Linked DNA regions of Drosophila melanogaster. The protein of the gene in region 1 interacts with the protein of each later gene in a pairwise test. Each region holds a gene or a part of one and is shown in the gene's direction. Other genes may lie near its edges.

Region 1 (7,272 bases):
GATGGCTCTCCTTATTGTTGCTGCTTTTGCTGCCGCTGTTGCTGGCATGCCATTTCCCGTTATCAGTGGCAGACTTTCTGCCAACCTGCTGTCGCACGCTGTAAGCGTCGGCGTTGACTTCGCCGTCACTGCCTCAGCCTCTGCCTCTGTCGTCGCTCAACGGTGACGCCACGAACGCCGCACAGTGGGTGTGAAATTTAGTTCGTTCGTATTTTGTCAAATTAAAAAGGATATTATTTTTCACTGTTTTGAATAATCAATAAAATGCTTACTGGTATGTAACCAGTAAAAAAAAAAACTATTAAACTATTGACTTTGTATACTTAATAGTTTTTTAATAGAATTAAATCAATTAGCAGCCTAATTTGCATATACTGCCATTATTGATTTTTGAGTGCTAGAAAGTGGATCGCACGCCACTGTGCCTCATTTTGTGTTCCTCATTTTGGATTTTGTGCGCACGCCGTGCCAGCTAATTTTGGATTTTCTAAGCGAGCCGAGTGAAATATTTTTAGCTCCTCGACTGCGACGCAACTGCACAGTCGGCGCGGGCAGCGACGTCAACATGCAGATTTTTGCAATTGTTTGCCTTATTTGGCCGCTGACGTGATTTTGTTGTTGTTGTTGTTGTTGCCGTTGTGCTTGCTGTATTTTTAGCCAGTTGATTTATCATTCTCATTGCGTTTACGCTGCATTTGTGGCTAATCAGTATTTTGTCTCTCTTTCTCTCGTTGCAGGTGAGTTTCCCCCTTTGTTTGTCCCATCGACGCATTGTTGTACCGTGTAGATATGCATATTGTGCAGATTAAACCGTAAGTTAAGCTAAGTATCCGAGCATTAAGGAGTCGCCATTACTGGAATGTTTGCATCATCGTCGAGTTATTCTGATAAGCCTGATAAGTCAAGATCACGGGTTACGTATACGCAGCGTGGGACAACTCAGCGATTGAGTGTGCTTAACCCTATTCTGAGTGGATTCTCGAGAATCCGCTGACATTCAAGATAAATCAGATTGGAATGAGTATAAATCAGATTTATAATTAGAATATCGTTTTAATATCCGTTAATATATTACCATCTGGGCTTTATTTTTTATATCTACTACGTTTAGAGGCCATCATTTTTCTCCCTGCACTGCATAATAATTTTGTCATTTGCGTAAACAATTTAATGTGCGTGTGTGCGTGAGTGAGTGAGATATTAGAGGCCAAGTCAAGTCTTCGTAGTGCGAGTTTCTGCTGCTCACCCAAGCACTCCCCTTTTGAACTCCGCAGCCATTCGACTTCTTTCTCTTATTATTCCAATTTTCCTATGCCACTGTAGCTGTATTTTTCCCAGCTTTTCCTCCGCTTTTCCGACCGCTTTCCCCGTCGCGCGGCTTTGAAGTGTTTACATTTTGCATTTGAATTATCGCCGTTTTATATGCTTCGCTTTGATTTTCTATTCACTTGTTGTTATTGCCCTGTCTGCCTTACATTATATTAAGCTAATTTTAGTATTTAGCTTTCGTTTGCATTTCAATTCAATTTGGAGAAACGGTGGGGAAAACGCTGTGGGCTTGAAACAGACCGAGTACTGTACTTTTTTATTTTTAATTTCCAATTCGATTTAATTGTTGTTCTTGGCGCTGACGTTGTTGTTGCTGTTCCAAGTTGTTGTTATTTTTGTTTCGCCTTTTCCGATTTGATTTGTGTTAATGTGTGTGTGTGTGTGTGTGTGTGTGTGTGTGTGTGCTTGGCGCCGTTTGGCTTGGCGGCCAAACGTTCTGAACAATAAAAATTTTGAACGAAACGATAGGAAAATGCTTTGACTTTTAGGTATTTGAAAACAGTATTAGCATGGTGTTCATACTTTAAACAGAAACTGAAACTTCAAAATCCAAGAAATATGTTGCAACTATGAAAATCAGCTAATCTATAAAGATGATATCAAGACCACAAGGAAATAACTTAATAACAATAATACATATTTTTTGGTATGACCACTTTATGTATATATATATATTTATATACAAAATTGATCTTTAAAGAAACCCCCTTTGTTGATATCAGTGATTAAGTGCAGTTGAATTTTCCCTGTTAGCCTTGCTTATCTGGTGTTTATCCGTTCTGCAAGATCACTCAATTTCTCACAATTTCTCTCTTAGCTGCTGGTGGCTCTCTTTCTCCCACTTCACGCAGTTTGCCTTCGGAGAAGCTGAGTTTTGTTTACCGACTTGCTGTTGTTGTTGTTGTTGCTGCTGTCGCAATTGAAGCGCAGTTTCTGGCAGCAACAGCATGAGCTATAGTATCTATAGATATACCGATACCTATACTTATGCCTACATGTACATACAAACATATATACCCGTTCGTTCGTAGCTCCAACGGCGAGGCATGCGAAGTCCCTTCAAGCGTTTCAACGTACTTTTTTTTTTGCTGCGCTTCGGTTTGTTTGATTTGGCTTGCTCACCTTCGGCTCGACGGCAACAACAACAACAGCAGCAGCAGCAACAACAACAGTATCGAACGGACGTCGACGGAGGCAGCGACGGAACTGCGAATTCGATGGAGACGTCGGTGGCGGTCTCAACCTGAAATCCAACCTGAAACTCGAAACGAACCCGAGGCTCGTGCTGTGTTTCATTTGAATGGGCACACGACGAACGGAGTTCGAGTTGGATTGGCCACAGTGTGCCGGCCAAATTGGAAGCCTTTGGTTCCACTTTGCGAAAACTTTTAAATTCGCTTAACCAAATTGACAGCTTTAGGGCCATTTCAACATACGTACACGTTTGGTTTCTTAAAATGTAGATGGTAAAGGGGGAAAATCTTTTCGGTTGCACGCTAACGTCAGGGTGGAAGAATGAAAAGCAGTTAATTTCTAGAGAATATATCGTATCGTTAATATTTAATAGTCTTCCTTACAAACCTTAGACATAATTGTGAAAAAGTATAATTTATGTAGTCATCGGGAAACCAATTTCTGGAAGCTGTCGGACGAGTACTTGTAACTGTAGTCATTTATCACAGGCATCTTTTGCAAATACCTTGGCTCAAAGGACCTCATTTCCCCATGCTCTCCCTTTTGGTCTCTTTCTGTCTACCCATCCCGCTTGCACTTGATCCTGTGCCTAGGCCATAAATATCGTATTAAATATTTGCCTTAGTATCGCCTGCGATGTCGGCGTTTCGCGTTTGCATTAACGCCGAATGTTGTCTGTTTATCTCGCTAGTTATTGTTCGCGCTGCCCATAGGTGGTGTTTTGCCATTTTCGAGGGGGGTGTTCATGTGTCCATGGGCCATAGGGGAAGGGGAAGGGGGAAGGGGGAAGGAAGGAGGCTTGCTGGCAAGAGGAACAAGGGGGGGGGAGGGTTTCGGCTCTGGTTTGGTGGTTGCAAACTTTTGTGGCATTGCCAGTTGATTGGATTGCCATGAGATGAACTTGGCGTCGCATGTGAATGTGTGCGTGTGTGCGAATGAGTGTGGCAAGTGATTTATGAGTCCCCAGTGCTGATATGGGATACGCTATACGCTATGGATATACAATAGATACAATGTCATTAGCGCTCTCGCCGATACACTGCTCCTTTTTCCAACGTAAACTCCCTATTTCTTTCGTCGATTTTAATTTAAGCACATAATGGCGATATCATTGACACCCAGTAGTTTAACATTTAATTTTAGCAAGTTTTGCTTGTGTTAACATTATTTGGGTTTCACTGTGCTGCAGAGCGCACATTCCGAAAGGAAACACTTAACTGCTTAAGGGAATCTAGGAGCTTGCGACATTCCTGTAACGAACACTGACAAAAATCAACTAAATTTCAACAAGTGGAGTTTCTGTTTCTATCTCTCTCTCGATCGACAATAAGTTGGAGTTATTTCTAGAAAAAACGAAGCATATTGAAGATGATGCAGCCAGCGGAACAGATCTTCTCCTGCGGATTCGAACTCTTCGGGCGAGTACAGGGTGTGTGTTTGCGGAAGCAGACACGAGATCTGGCCACAATGAACCAGGTGCGCGGGTGGGTGATGAACACGGACGAGGGCACGGTGAAGGGACAGCTGGAGGGCACACTGCCCAAGGTCAACGTGCTGAAGTTCTGGCTACTGAATATCGGCAGTCCGCGCTCGATTATCGAGCGGGCGGAATTCACGCCCACCAAGGAGATCACTTCGCACAACTTTAGCCGATTCTCGATTCGCTACCACAATGTGGCAGCAACGAAAAAGGCCATTTAATAAAGAATTTAGACTTGTAGTCTACTACCGAAAATTGGAACTGTGTATTTGCTGTAACTATTTGTTTGGACCTTTAAATTGAGCTGCCTACGAATGGAGCCCAGTTGTGCTTCTGCGAGCATCATTTATAAACCTCTAAAATGAAAAACAGGCTGCTGCCAGCCACTAATTAAGCCGCACAAAGAAATGCTCAGCGCAATTACATGGAGGCTGGCACATCCACTATGTACTTATTTTAATATATGTATCTACAAAGTAAATATATGTACATATGTATATATATATATATGTGAGATGACTTGGTTAGACAGACACCTGCAGCTTCAGCTTCAGCTTCAGTTTTAGCCTCGGCTTGGCCACATTTCCAGTTGAGCGACGCCCCAAACTGGCAATGAGTTTTTACGGCACACAAACAGCAGCCAACAGGCAACAGACAATACTGGCTATAAGGAAAATCTAGAATAACAACAGAGAGCCACAAATATTTATCGCAGTGCGCTGAACAAGAACAGATTGACTATTTGATTGAAGGTGAAAATCTAGTAAGTCGTGACTTCTCAAGGCGGAAGGAAATGCCTTGAAATGCATTTTTGGGTAAATGTTATCTGTTATGAGAATAACGGTAGATATATATATATGAATTATACGTATACATATATGTACGTAATCCGCTGTCTATTCAACGAATGCATTTATTGCATAGGAAGTTAAGATTTCAAGTGTTGGAAAGTTCACTGTACTGTTTCCGAATTTCATTATTGACAGTTACATGTGTTAGCCTGCTGTTAGAAAAGTGCAAGCTGGTTTCTTAAGTAATATACTAAGTAATATTAAGTGTAACTCTGTTTGTAAATACCATATTTCCGAATTTGATGATGCTTATTCCGATTTAAACCCGTGTGGTTTTAAATCAAAATCGGATTGAAATCAAAGTGCCACATGCATGTCTTATCACATTTTCGAGTTGTCCAAGTGTAACTCGTAACTCGGAGCGAGAATCCAGTTGCCCAGCGCGCCTAGCTGTTGGCGTTGTAGCTGTTGTTGTTGCGCCCCCAAATGCCCTCCATGGGTCGCTGACTACCACGACGCCGCCACTGCCACTGCTCGGGCGATGGCGTCACTGCCGGCGTCTCTGCCGCCGAAGCACTGCGCATAATCACAACAAAATCAAACAAATGAACGGCACTGACACAGCGGCAACACCAACGGCAACAGCAGCAGCAGCAGCAGCAGCAACATCAACGCAGCGGCAGCAACATCACCGCAACAGCAACAGCTTCGAGTCGCGTGTGTGCGTTCATGTGAGGTTGTGTTGGCAACTTCGTTGCGTGTGTAACAGGCGCCCAGATTTTCCGAGAGAGCTGAAAAAGAACATTTTCACATGCGGAGTGGGGTGGAGTGTTCCCATTTGTGGATGTTGGGTTTGCGGAATTTTTATAGGTTAAGCTGTAAGCGGTGTGAAGAGAGGGGGGCGAGAGGAGTGTTGTTGTAGAGAGGAGGCAAGGGGGCGTGGCAGAGAGGCTGGGGCGAGCGAAGAGGGTTGCTGGTGTGGCCTTAACTAGTTTCAGCCGGCCGGTGTCGTTGCCTTATAAACGAGCTAAAAATGCGAGATAAAGAGCGCTTCGCACGACTCACTCGACTCACTGGACTCACTTGGATTTTTGTGAGTGATTCCTGCGAAACCCCAAACACAAACCCAAAACCTCTGAATTTTCCCAGAACACCCCCCCACCCCCCAACGTTTCCCCCGCTTTACCATCAGCTCAAATTCCTTTGCGCATTCCTACGACGTTGATGTCGCTGCCTGTTTCCGGTGTCACTTCCTTATTTAGTTGTTCACGTTTGTTTGTTGTTTTGTGCTGTTGCCTGGCTTTTGGGTAGGATTTCGCTGGATTTCGTCCTTGTAGGCTCAACCCAATTTAACAGCCATCAGAAAGTGGGCAGCGAATTCAATTTGCCTGAAAGCCACCCACAAAAAAAAGAAACAAAACAAAAAAAGAAGCGAAGCAAGGAAAACAGAAACGGTGATCATTAGTTGGATTATTATTAGTCTATTAGTGGTAATCAAATTTATGGCACAAATACAAATTGAGGGAAAACTTTCATGACGCCAAAATGGAAATTGAAAACAGCGAGTGGGGCAGCGGTGGAGCTTGGTTGGAATGGTGGAACGGGGGAGGGGGGGGGGTAAGACAGGTTGTCGCGGCATACATAAATGCAAACACTTTGTGCAAATATTTGTGTCATTAAACAAATGACAAACGAATTGGTTTCAACATGAAAGCCAAGAGAGAGCGAAAGAGTAAGAGAGAGAGAGAGAGCAGCTGACATGCAACATGCTAACAGCAGCAGCAGCAGCAGCTTATCAACCGTCTGTTATGGCTAACAGCGACATCCCCGCAGCAACACCCATACCAACAGCCACCCACTCGCACACAGATACTCACTCGCTGCGGCGCTGCAACAATGCAAAAAGCAAACTTTCTCGCTGCCGGCGTCGCAGCTGGCGTCGTGTTGCTGCTGCTGCTGCCGCTGCCAGCGTCGCTCGCGTCGCTCGAAGTCGCTTCGTTTGGCTTCGCTGACAGCGGCTCGTGCCAGTACTCAACCGACTGCCAAACGGCGCACGACAAACCAGCAGCAGCATCAGCAGCAGCAGCAGCAGCTGAGGCAACAGCAACAGCAACACGACGCCAGCAGCAGTAACAGCCGCACGGCAGAAACAGCAACACTAGCCAAAGAAAAGCTGAGCGCTTTTTTTTTTTAGTTGTTTGCGGTTCGTTCCCTCAGCGATAAAAACACAACAGCAGCAACGCAACAGCAACAACAAAGGCAACATCAACGACTATGGCAATATAACAAAAGAAAACAAATTAAAAAGAAATACTAAAATATGCACTTAAAGTTAATGAAGAAATAAAGTGTTCGAGTGCTTAAAAACATTAGTGTTTGAAAAGTGAAAAGCGAAACAATTTCGTGTCAAACATGAAGAGTTATAGTATTTTTTAATCGCAAAGATGAGAGAAAAACATAAACAACAAAAATGATTGT
Region 2 (7,870 bases), on another chromosome or scaffold:
AAGGGTGTGGACGAGGTGGGAGTGGAGAACGGCACGGGTATTGTGCGCGTCCGCATAAATCCAAAGTATTTTCGGCCGACGGAGGTCGATCTGCTGCAAGGCGACGCGTCCAAAGCCAATCGAGAGCTAAACTGGACGCCTAAAGTTACCTTCGTGGAATTGGTTAGCGACATGATGAAGGCTGACATCGAATTAATGAGGAAAAATCCAATCGCTTAAGGCCTACCTGGCTTCCAGCTCGGACTGGGATCATTTACGGCACAAAGCTCTCTGCCCGCTTGCGGAGCTATACACTAACCATAGTCTAAGCGTAAAGTGATCAGCGTAGTTGATTTGTCAATGTATTTCTGTATTCTCGTGGGGATTTGCAATCATTCCTTTTTCTACTTTGCCGCGTACGTTCATGTTCAGTGTGTGATTCTACTTGTTTTTATACAGTACCAGATGTAACGAATATTTGAAATAAAGACGTTCGAGTAACAACGTTTTAATACCTTCAAATTGTAACGAAATGTTTCCGAAGTTATGTTTATTCGTTCGAGGCTAAACACATAAATCAAAAACAAACGCGGACAGCTTTTCTAGGTTTCTTTCTTGCCGAAAGGATTGATTTTAGACAGCCAACTGGAAGAGGGGGAGGATTCCCTGGAATAAATCATTGGTTAGGAAATTCATTACAGAAGTATTTGTGACTTACAGCTTTGTAAGCGCTTCGATATCCGAATCCTTGTGTTCGACCGACGATTCTGCTGCTAATGCATCCGGCTTCTCCAGCTTTCCCGCTTCGCTGATCCCCGCCTGGCGCAGCTGCTCGATAAGCTTTCCGCGGAACTCCAACTTATGCGGCACCACCTTTTCCGCTTCGCGCAGCTGCTTTTGCAGCTTGCGTATGGCCTCCAAATAGGTATGGCCGTACCAATCGATTTCCTCGGGCGTATATGGTTCCAGATAGCGGCGGTATTCCTTAAGCACTTCCTGTTGGCGTTCGGGCTCGTCGGCGAGGGCTGGAACACCGTTCTGCAGGGCCTGAAGCACCTCTCGCTTGAGTTTCAGAGCCAAAGCGGAGCGAAGATCGCAGGCACGATTCTTGAGGAGGTAGTGATCAAAGCCATGACATTCATGGATCTGCTCCAGCGTGCGTTCCGTCACCACCACGGACATGTAGCAGTCCAGCACATGACTATGGACCACCGAACGCCTAAGATTTGGTACCCAAAAGTGCGGCACGCGACGCTTTGTTTGCTCGCGTTTCTGAAAGCCCTTGATCACGGCCTCGCCACCCCAGATGCCACGGTGCGATTCCGGCGTATCGATCAATGGCAGCGGGATGTTCTGCACCGGCTTGATGGCGTGCGTCACCTCATCTCGTTCCCACTGCTGCTCCTTGGGGATATAATGGACCGCAGCCGGGGTCGTCAGCTTCCACTCGCGCCAGAACTTCCTGTACGCCTCGGGCAGCTGGGCTCCCAGACCCTTGTCAAAGCGACCCGGACGCTTCCATCCGTTTAATAGCTTTACGCCCTGCAGAAGGTTTAAACGCTTTGTTATTCCATGGGGTTTACGAAAGTTAACGCAGCTATTGCGTCACAGAAACGCGGCGCACTACCAGTTTCCTCTTTATTTTTGAGGCAATCACATACCTGTGGCGTGGCGTGTGCCATTTTTTAAGGAACGAACTAGCAGTTTACTGTTATTATTCACTATTAAAACTATAGTGGCAGTTTAAACTTGGCTATTAAACTATATTTTCCCTGATTTTGGCTAGGCCAACGGCGCTCTTCCTCTTCCTGTTTGGAAAAAACAGCTGTTCGTATGTGAATGGCTGGCAGCCAGGGTTGCCAGGTTTGAAAAGTATTTCGGAGACAGAGCTTCGTTCAATTTAGTTTTGTGAAATTTAGAAATGCTCGGCAAAAAATTGAGTTTCGAAGTAGTTCAACTTATTTATTATAATCAATATATGAAACAGTGCGCCAAGCCATACTCCGGCATAAGTACCATTCACGAGTAGCAAGAAATAAATTTATGCTGTCGGCAATTAAAATCGAAAAGCGGCTTACTTTCGCTATCAGAATGTAACATGTAAGTTACTAATGTATTAACAATTAAATATCCTTGAAAGAAACGCGATTTATTTTGACTACGTATAAAGCTTTTAGCAAATGCAATTAATTTTTTGGAAATTCTCACGCGGTTAGCCCAGCCTTGTTCAACCTGGCCTTAATCGTGTTTATCTTGAGCGGCAACAGCTGGAGCATTTCACGCACAACACCAATCTCGCCCTGCAGCGTCTCGGCCGCCTCCTTGTGCAGCTGGCAACCAGCATCGAATCTCTGGTAGTAGGTGTGGCAACTAGTTAGGTGCTCCAGCTGCTGGAGCGGATGGCCACTGATCAGCTTGTAGTAGATGCGACCGATGTGGAAGTGGGCGTAGAGCATGTGGCGTTGCTCCTCCACGTCCATGTTGGGTCGCCATTCCTCGCTGGGCGGTTTGACCAGATAGGATTTGACATAGCTCTCAAAGTGCTTGATGGCCTTCATACAGCTCTGATTGACCTTCTTGATGTCCTCCGGCGCTGGCGTGCTAGTGGCCCGAATGATGTCGAGACGGACATCCATCACGGCAGCATGAGCTGTGCCGGCTCCATACCAGCATTCTCGGCATATCTTCATGTAAAAGATGGGGTCAAGCAGATCCAAAAGATCTTCCAGATACTTGGCGCGACGCTTTTGCATCTTGGCCTGGTTTTCTGGATTCTCCTCGAAGAAGGCAATGTGCTCATACGCTTCGGCGTAATCCTGCATTATCTTTGAATACTCAGTAGCTTCGTTCTCGGCCTTGTAATAGTCCTTGGCTATGTCGAGCCACTCGTTCACAAAATGAAACACCAACTTGGCATCGTCGAAGGTCAGGCAGTATTCACAACTAATACGATTTTCACACGCGGTGAGGTCAAGTCCAGGAAACCGGGACTGTTCCGCCTCGACCAGCCGCATATTGCGCAGAACGATCTCCAGGTTCTTGGCATCCTCGTCATCTTCGTCCCGCATCAGCCGAAGCTTGGATGTGTTCATTAAATACAATCCATATTTGGCCCAACAGCGTGCCACATCGGCGTAGCGATGTTTAAAGGTCTCCGACACGTCCTGGCGCTGCTTCTCGCTCATCTCCGGCTCCAGCATGTGCACCTCATATTCGGCCATGATGAGCGTAGCAGCGGCCAGGTGATGACGGGCCTCCTCGAAGCGCTTCTCTCCAATATAGAACTGTGACAAGGTGGCGGTGTTCAGTGCGAAATCAATGGGATCGTATGTTTTTGACTCAAGCTGTCGATGGAGGGTGCGATGGCAGCACTTGGCCGACTTTTCCGGCTCACCCAAATGCCCGTACATTTGCGCCATGTAAAATGAGACTAGCGTGTACAGGGATTCCAGTTCCTTGGGACCAGCTTCGTGAGATTGTTGTCCCTCCTCCGGAGGATTGAACACATCTTGAATGGCCAGGGGCTTCAGACCACTGGCTTTGAAGTCCTCGTAGATTTTTTCTGCCTCCAGGAGAATTTCCAGTCCCTTATTGTACTCTTCCTTGGAGGCCAGCACAATGCTAAGCTCGTTGATTGCCCCAATGAATGGAATGATGCCCTCAGGGCACTCCTTAAACGGCGTGACTAGTTCCAGACAACGATTGAGCATCTTTTCGCCCTCTGCCTGCTCCTCTGTGTAGATGTAGATCCTGCCTAGATCCCGGCAAACGAAGGCCAACAGAGAGTGATAGCAGCGATCGTCCTGACCACCGTCCTCCTCGCTGGCCTGCACAGATACCAGTTGGTCGTCCAGCTGCTTCTTCAAGACAATTAGCACATCGCGCGCTTTATAATGGGAGCGGAATGGATCCGTGGGCGGATCATTGCGGCTCTCCTCCTCCACCAGACGGTTGGCCTTCTCGTATAGCTCCTTGAAGTCGCTTAGGATCTCCTTTGGAATGACCATGTTGGCTGAGCACCCACGGTGCAGGCAAAAGCTATCCTGAATTCGGCAAAGCCTTTTTATTTACTATATTTTTTCTCTATGAGTGTGTAGTGTGGCCGTATTGTGACTGCTTAAACTTTACCTGAGACCCAAACCATGAAAGAATATTTTATTTAAAATCTCAAACTAAATTAATTTGAACTATGTACAAGTAAGGTATTTTCAAAAAGTACATAACACAACCATAAACGCCTCTAATATAAACTTGAAGGCATAAAATGTTTATATAAACAAAACAGCTTAGTGTGACCGTTGCGCAGCAACCTCTATGTCGCAACCCTGGAATTAATTGCTGGTATTATAACGTATTCGATTACAGTCACACCGCATCGACTTTCAGATTTTTTTCGCGTCGCAAATTTTTGGAATATACCAAAATATTTACCACCATCAGCTATTAAAGACTGCTTTTGGCGCTCATCTTTCAAAGAATACTTTTCCACAAATCAGACAAGCTTCATCCGAAAGCGGGCACAATGCTGAAGGGTTACAAGACGGATGAGGACAAGAAGGTGAAGCGACTGTACCACCAACGCTATCGCACAGAGTGGGAGAAATATCCGGAGCTCTCCAGCTGGCTGGCGTCTAGTAATGACGGTTACTCGGCGCACTGCAAGATCTGCGACATCAATGTCCTCGCCAGACTAGCGTCCATCAAGCAGCACCTCGCAACGCGGAAACACCAGGAAAGTTTCAAGTACCACAACATTCTTGCCAAGGTGGGATTGGGTTTGTGCATAAGCAATAGGAATGACCCGTGTCCATTATTGATTCAAATATTTTGCGATCCAAACTAAATTTCAAACACGATTTTTGTGTGAGTTTTCGCCATACTTTTCGTTAACTATTCCATTGACTACTTCTTGTGCAATGGTTAACCAAACCAGTAGCTCCCTCTATGCGATGCACAACTTATCGCTCCAAAAAAAAAATTCTCATCTCATTACTAATTTACATAAAATTAACAACTCCGTATTTATACCTACAGAATATGATTAAGGGTGAACTTGTCAAAGATGAGCATGACCCAGACTTGGAGGCCTCCATAATTTCACCCAAAGCAAAGCCCAAAGCCAAATCAAAGACCTATCCAAGGCAAAAGCCAAGGAGCAAAATGCAGCCAAAGATCAAGAACGACACGAAGGTGGAGAGCATGGAGGAGGAGACGGAGGAGGACGAAATCGCCTCGAACGACTCAATCCTGGATGATTTACTCAGAACAGATCAGCCCTATCAAGAGCAAGAATTTGAGGTTGAGAACGAGTTCCTCGAAGTACAACAGAATGAAACAGATCTCCAGGACCAAGAGGTGGTCTACGAGGAAGAGATGATACAGCTCAAGCCGGAAGATACGGAGATTAATAACGAATACCAAGTCGACGCGATGACGGAAGACACCATTATTAGTGAATTTGACTTGTTTGGCAAGAGTTTGGCTCTGCAGCTGAACAACATGGACCTGGAGGACGCACTAATGTGCCAGGAGCGTCTGCAGGTGGTCCTAACGGAATTTCGCCTGAAGGTGCTCAAGCGCAAGAGAGAGCAAGCACGATCTTCGTAGGCTTACAATTTATATCAAGCTGTCTTATGTACATAATATAATTTCTTTAACAACTAAATAAATAACTATTCTGCCTCAATTTCGTCAATTAGCGCCCGGCACTTTCTCTTCAATACCTTGACCGCCTCCAGGAAGATGACATCGGGCTTCAGTGCGCCGACTGATTCCACGGAGAAAATGTAGTGATCTCGGATACGGGCCAAAGTCACAGCGTCGTTTAGCTGGGGATAGCGATACACATTTCGGCTGCACGTGTCGTAGCGTGCATCCTTTACATAGGCAGTTTCATTCTCGTCAATGCCAATTACTCCTGGTGAGAAACAGTTCTGTAATAGGTACGCATCCTTACCGGTCACCTCGCGGTTCAGCTTAATCATGGGCAGCAGTCGGTAGGTGGCCGTGGCCACCGGCGAGAATTTCGCGTGATCCCGTCCAAGTCCCTTAACCGCCACCAGGCGCAGATCCAACTCGTGACCCGGACGCAATTGGGCAATCAGTATGTCATCGTGAATGCAGTTCACAGCACTCTCGCTGTATATCTGCGCCTGCTTTCCTTTGGGCAGCCACTTCAGATGACCCGAGTACACTTTGTGGTTTTTGTAAATGTCATCGAAGTTGGACTGATCTTTTCCAGCATCCCGTCGCCGCGAGCACTTCACCTTCAGCTCAAATTCAAGCGTATCCTGCTCGGTCCCCGCCTCAGTGCTTTCCTCGGTGCGGTATGCGAATAGACGGGGATCAGCCCGCAACGGAAGTAGACCCATTCGATGGGCAAGTACCTCGTCCTGGATGATCGAGGTGTTGTTGTATATGTACACCTTTTCGATGGCCATGCTGGGCACATCGCTGAGCATCAGGCGACGGAAGGCATTTGCAATGGCGGGATACACGCCAATCAGATCGAACTCCAGGCCGTCTTCGTCGTTTCTAGAAGTGAACACCAATTGTTAATCGACTCGTAAGATTCTAATTTCTATTGAGATTTACCTGACGATTTTGATGTGCAGCTTTTCCTTGAAAGCCTGAACGGAAAATACATCGTCCGCCAGTCCATAGTCCTGCGGATCCTGCTTCACCCGATACTCCTCCATGTACAGAAGCGGCTCCTTGCGATTTTTGCTTGCCATTTGCCCCGGTGTTTTTATTAAATAATTTAACAAAATTGAACCGCACGTGTTGGAATCAATAAGACCGCCTTCTAATACCAAAATATACCAAACTAACTAACAAACTAACTAATATACTAAATAAATATACTTTATGTACTAAATAAATGCTGTTTCGCCGTGACTGGCTGAATAGGAAGAAGCAGCAGGACACCGGCGATATTTTTATTTCTCCAGAAGATTTACGTAAAGCCTTCAAATTTCTGAAACCGGGCGTAAGATGTCCCGCTCCCTGCAACGCTTAGTGGGCAGCTGTCGTCGCTGGGCACAACAGCCCGCAATTCGTCATTATGCCGCTCCCGCAGATTCCACTAAAGGCAAGGGTCCGATCTCTTGGAGAAGTCTGGCCGTCATTGGAGCCCTTGGAGCCGGAGGAGTGGGCTTCATGCTGTACGTGAAGAGCGAGAAGGATGAGGCGAGAATGAAGGAGCGTCAGCGGCAATTGGGAAAAGCAGCCATCGGCGGCAGTTGGGAATTAGTTGATTCGCAGGGAGCTGTTCGCAAATCGGAGGACTTCTTAGGCAAGTGGCTGCTCATCTATTTTGGCTTCACCCACTGCCCGGATATTTGTCCCGATGAGCTAGAGAAGATGGCCGCCGTCGTCGATGAAGTTGGTAAGTAGAGCCTGACTATTTCTTCCAAACCCAAAAAAAACCATGTTTCTCAAACCTTCACAGAAAAGTCCCCGCAAACGCCAGCAGTGCAGCCCATCTTTATCACCGTTGACCCAGAACGTGACTCCAAAGAGGTGGTGGCCAAATACGTAAAAGAGTTCTCCCCCAAACTGCTGGGACTCACGGGAACCGTCGAACAAATCCGCAAAGTGTGCAAGGCCTTCAGGGTTTATTTCAGCGCTGGACCGCGGGACGAGGACAACGATTATATTGTGGATCACACCATCATCATGTACCTGGTCAATCCCGATGGCGAGTTTGTCGATTACTACGGCCAAAATCGGGACAAGGACCAGTGTGTGGCATCCATTTTGGTGAACATAGCCAAGTGGAATTCAATGAACAAAAAGGGATGGTTCAGCTAGGCTGGCTAAGCTAGGCAAATGTTGTTTCGTTGTATTTACTTAATGTATGGCATAAAATATGGTTTTTACTTGATGTATA

What was found. Proteins that work in one complex are often made in the same cells at the same time.
Region 2: the proteins of CG18371 (region 1) and l(2)05714 interact in a two-hybrid assay, tested with the Drosophila melanogaster proteins (one large-scale study listed by BioGRID).

The regions. Positions count from the first base shown.
Region 1 is NT_033778.4:14,024,843-14,032,114, forward strand, and holds CG18371 (uncharacterized protein), read left to right. Parts: upstream 1-3,777; 5' UTR 3,778-3,891; coding exon 3,892-4,224; 3' UTR 4,225-4,254; downstream 4,255-7,272.
Region 2 is NT_033779.5:4,967,928-4,975,797, reverse strand, and holds l(2)05714 (lethal (2) 05714), read left to right. Parts: upstream 1-4,312; 5' UTR 4,313-4,501; coding exon 4,502-4,744; intron 4,745-5,013; coding exon 5,014-5,586; 3' UTR 5,587-5,651; downstream 5,652-7,870. Other genes in the region: Gmd (GDP-mannose 4,6-dehydratase), read left to right, coding at 1-219; mRpL28 (mitochondrial ribosomal protein L28), read right to left, coding at 582-645, 698-1,521, 1,641-1,661; CG14043 (uncharacterized protein), read right to left, coding at 2,184-3,986; Polr1C (RNA polymerase I and III subunit C), read right to left, coding at 5,652-6,513, 6,574-6,713; Scox (synthesis of cytochrome c oxidase), read left to right, coding at 6,973-7,366, 7,430-7,791.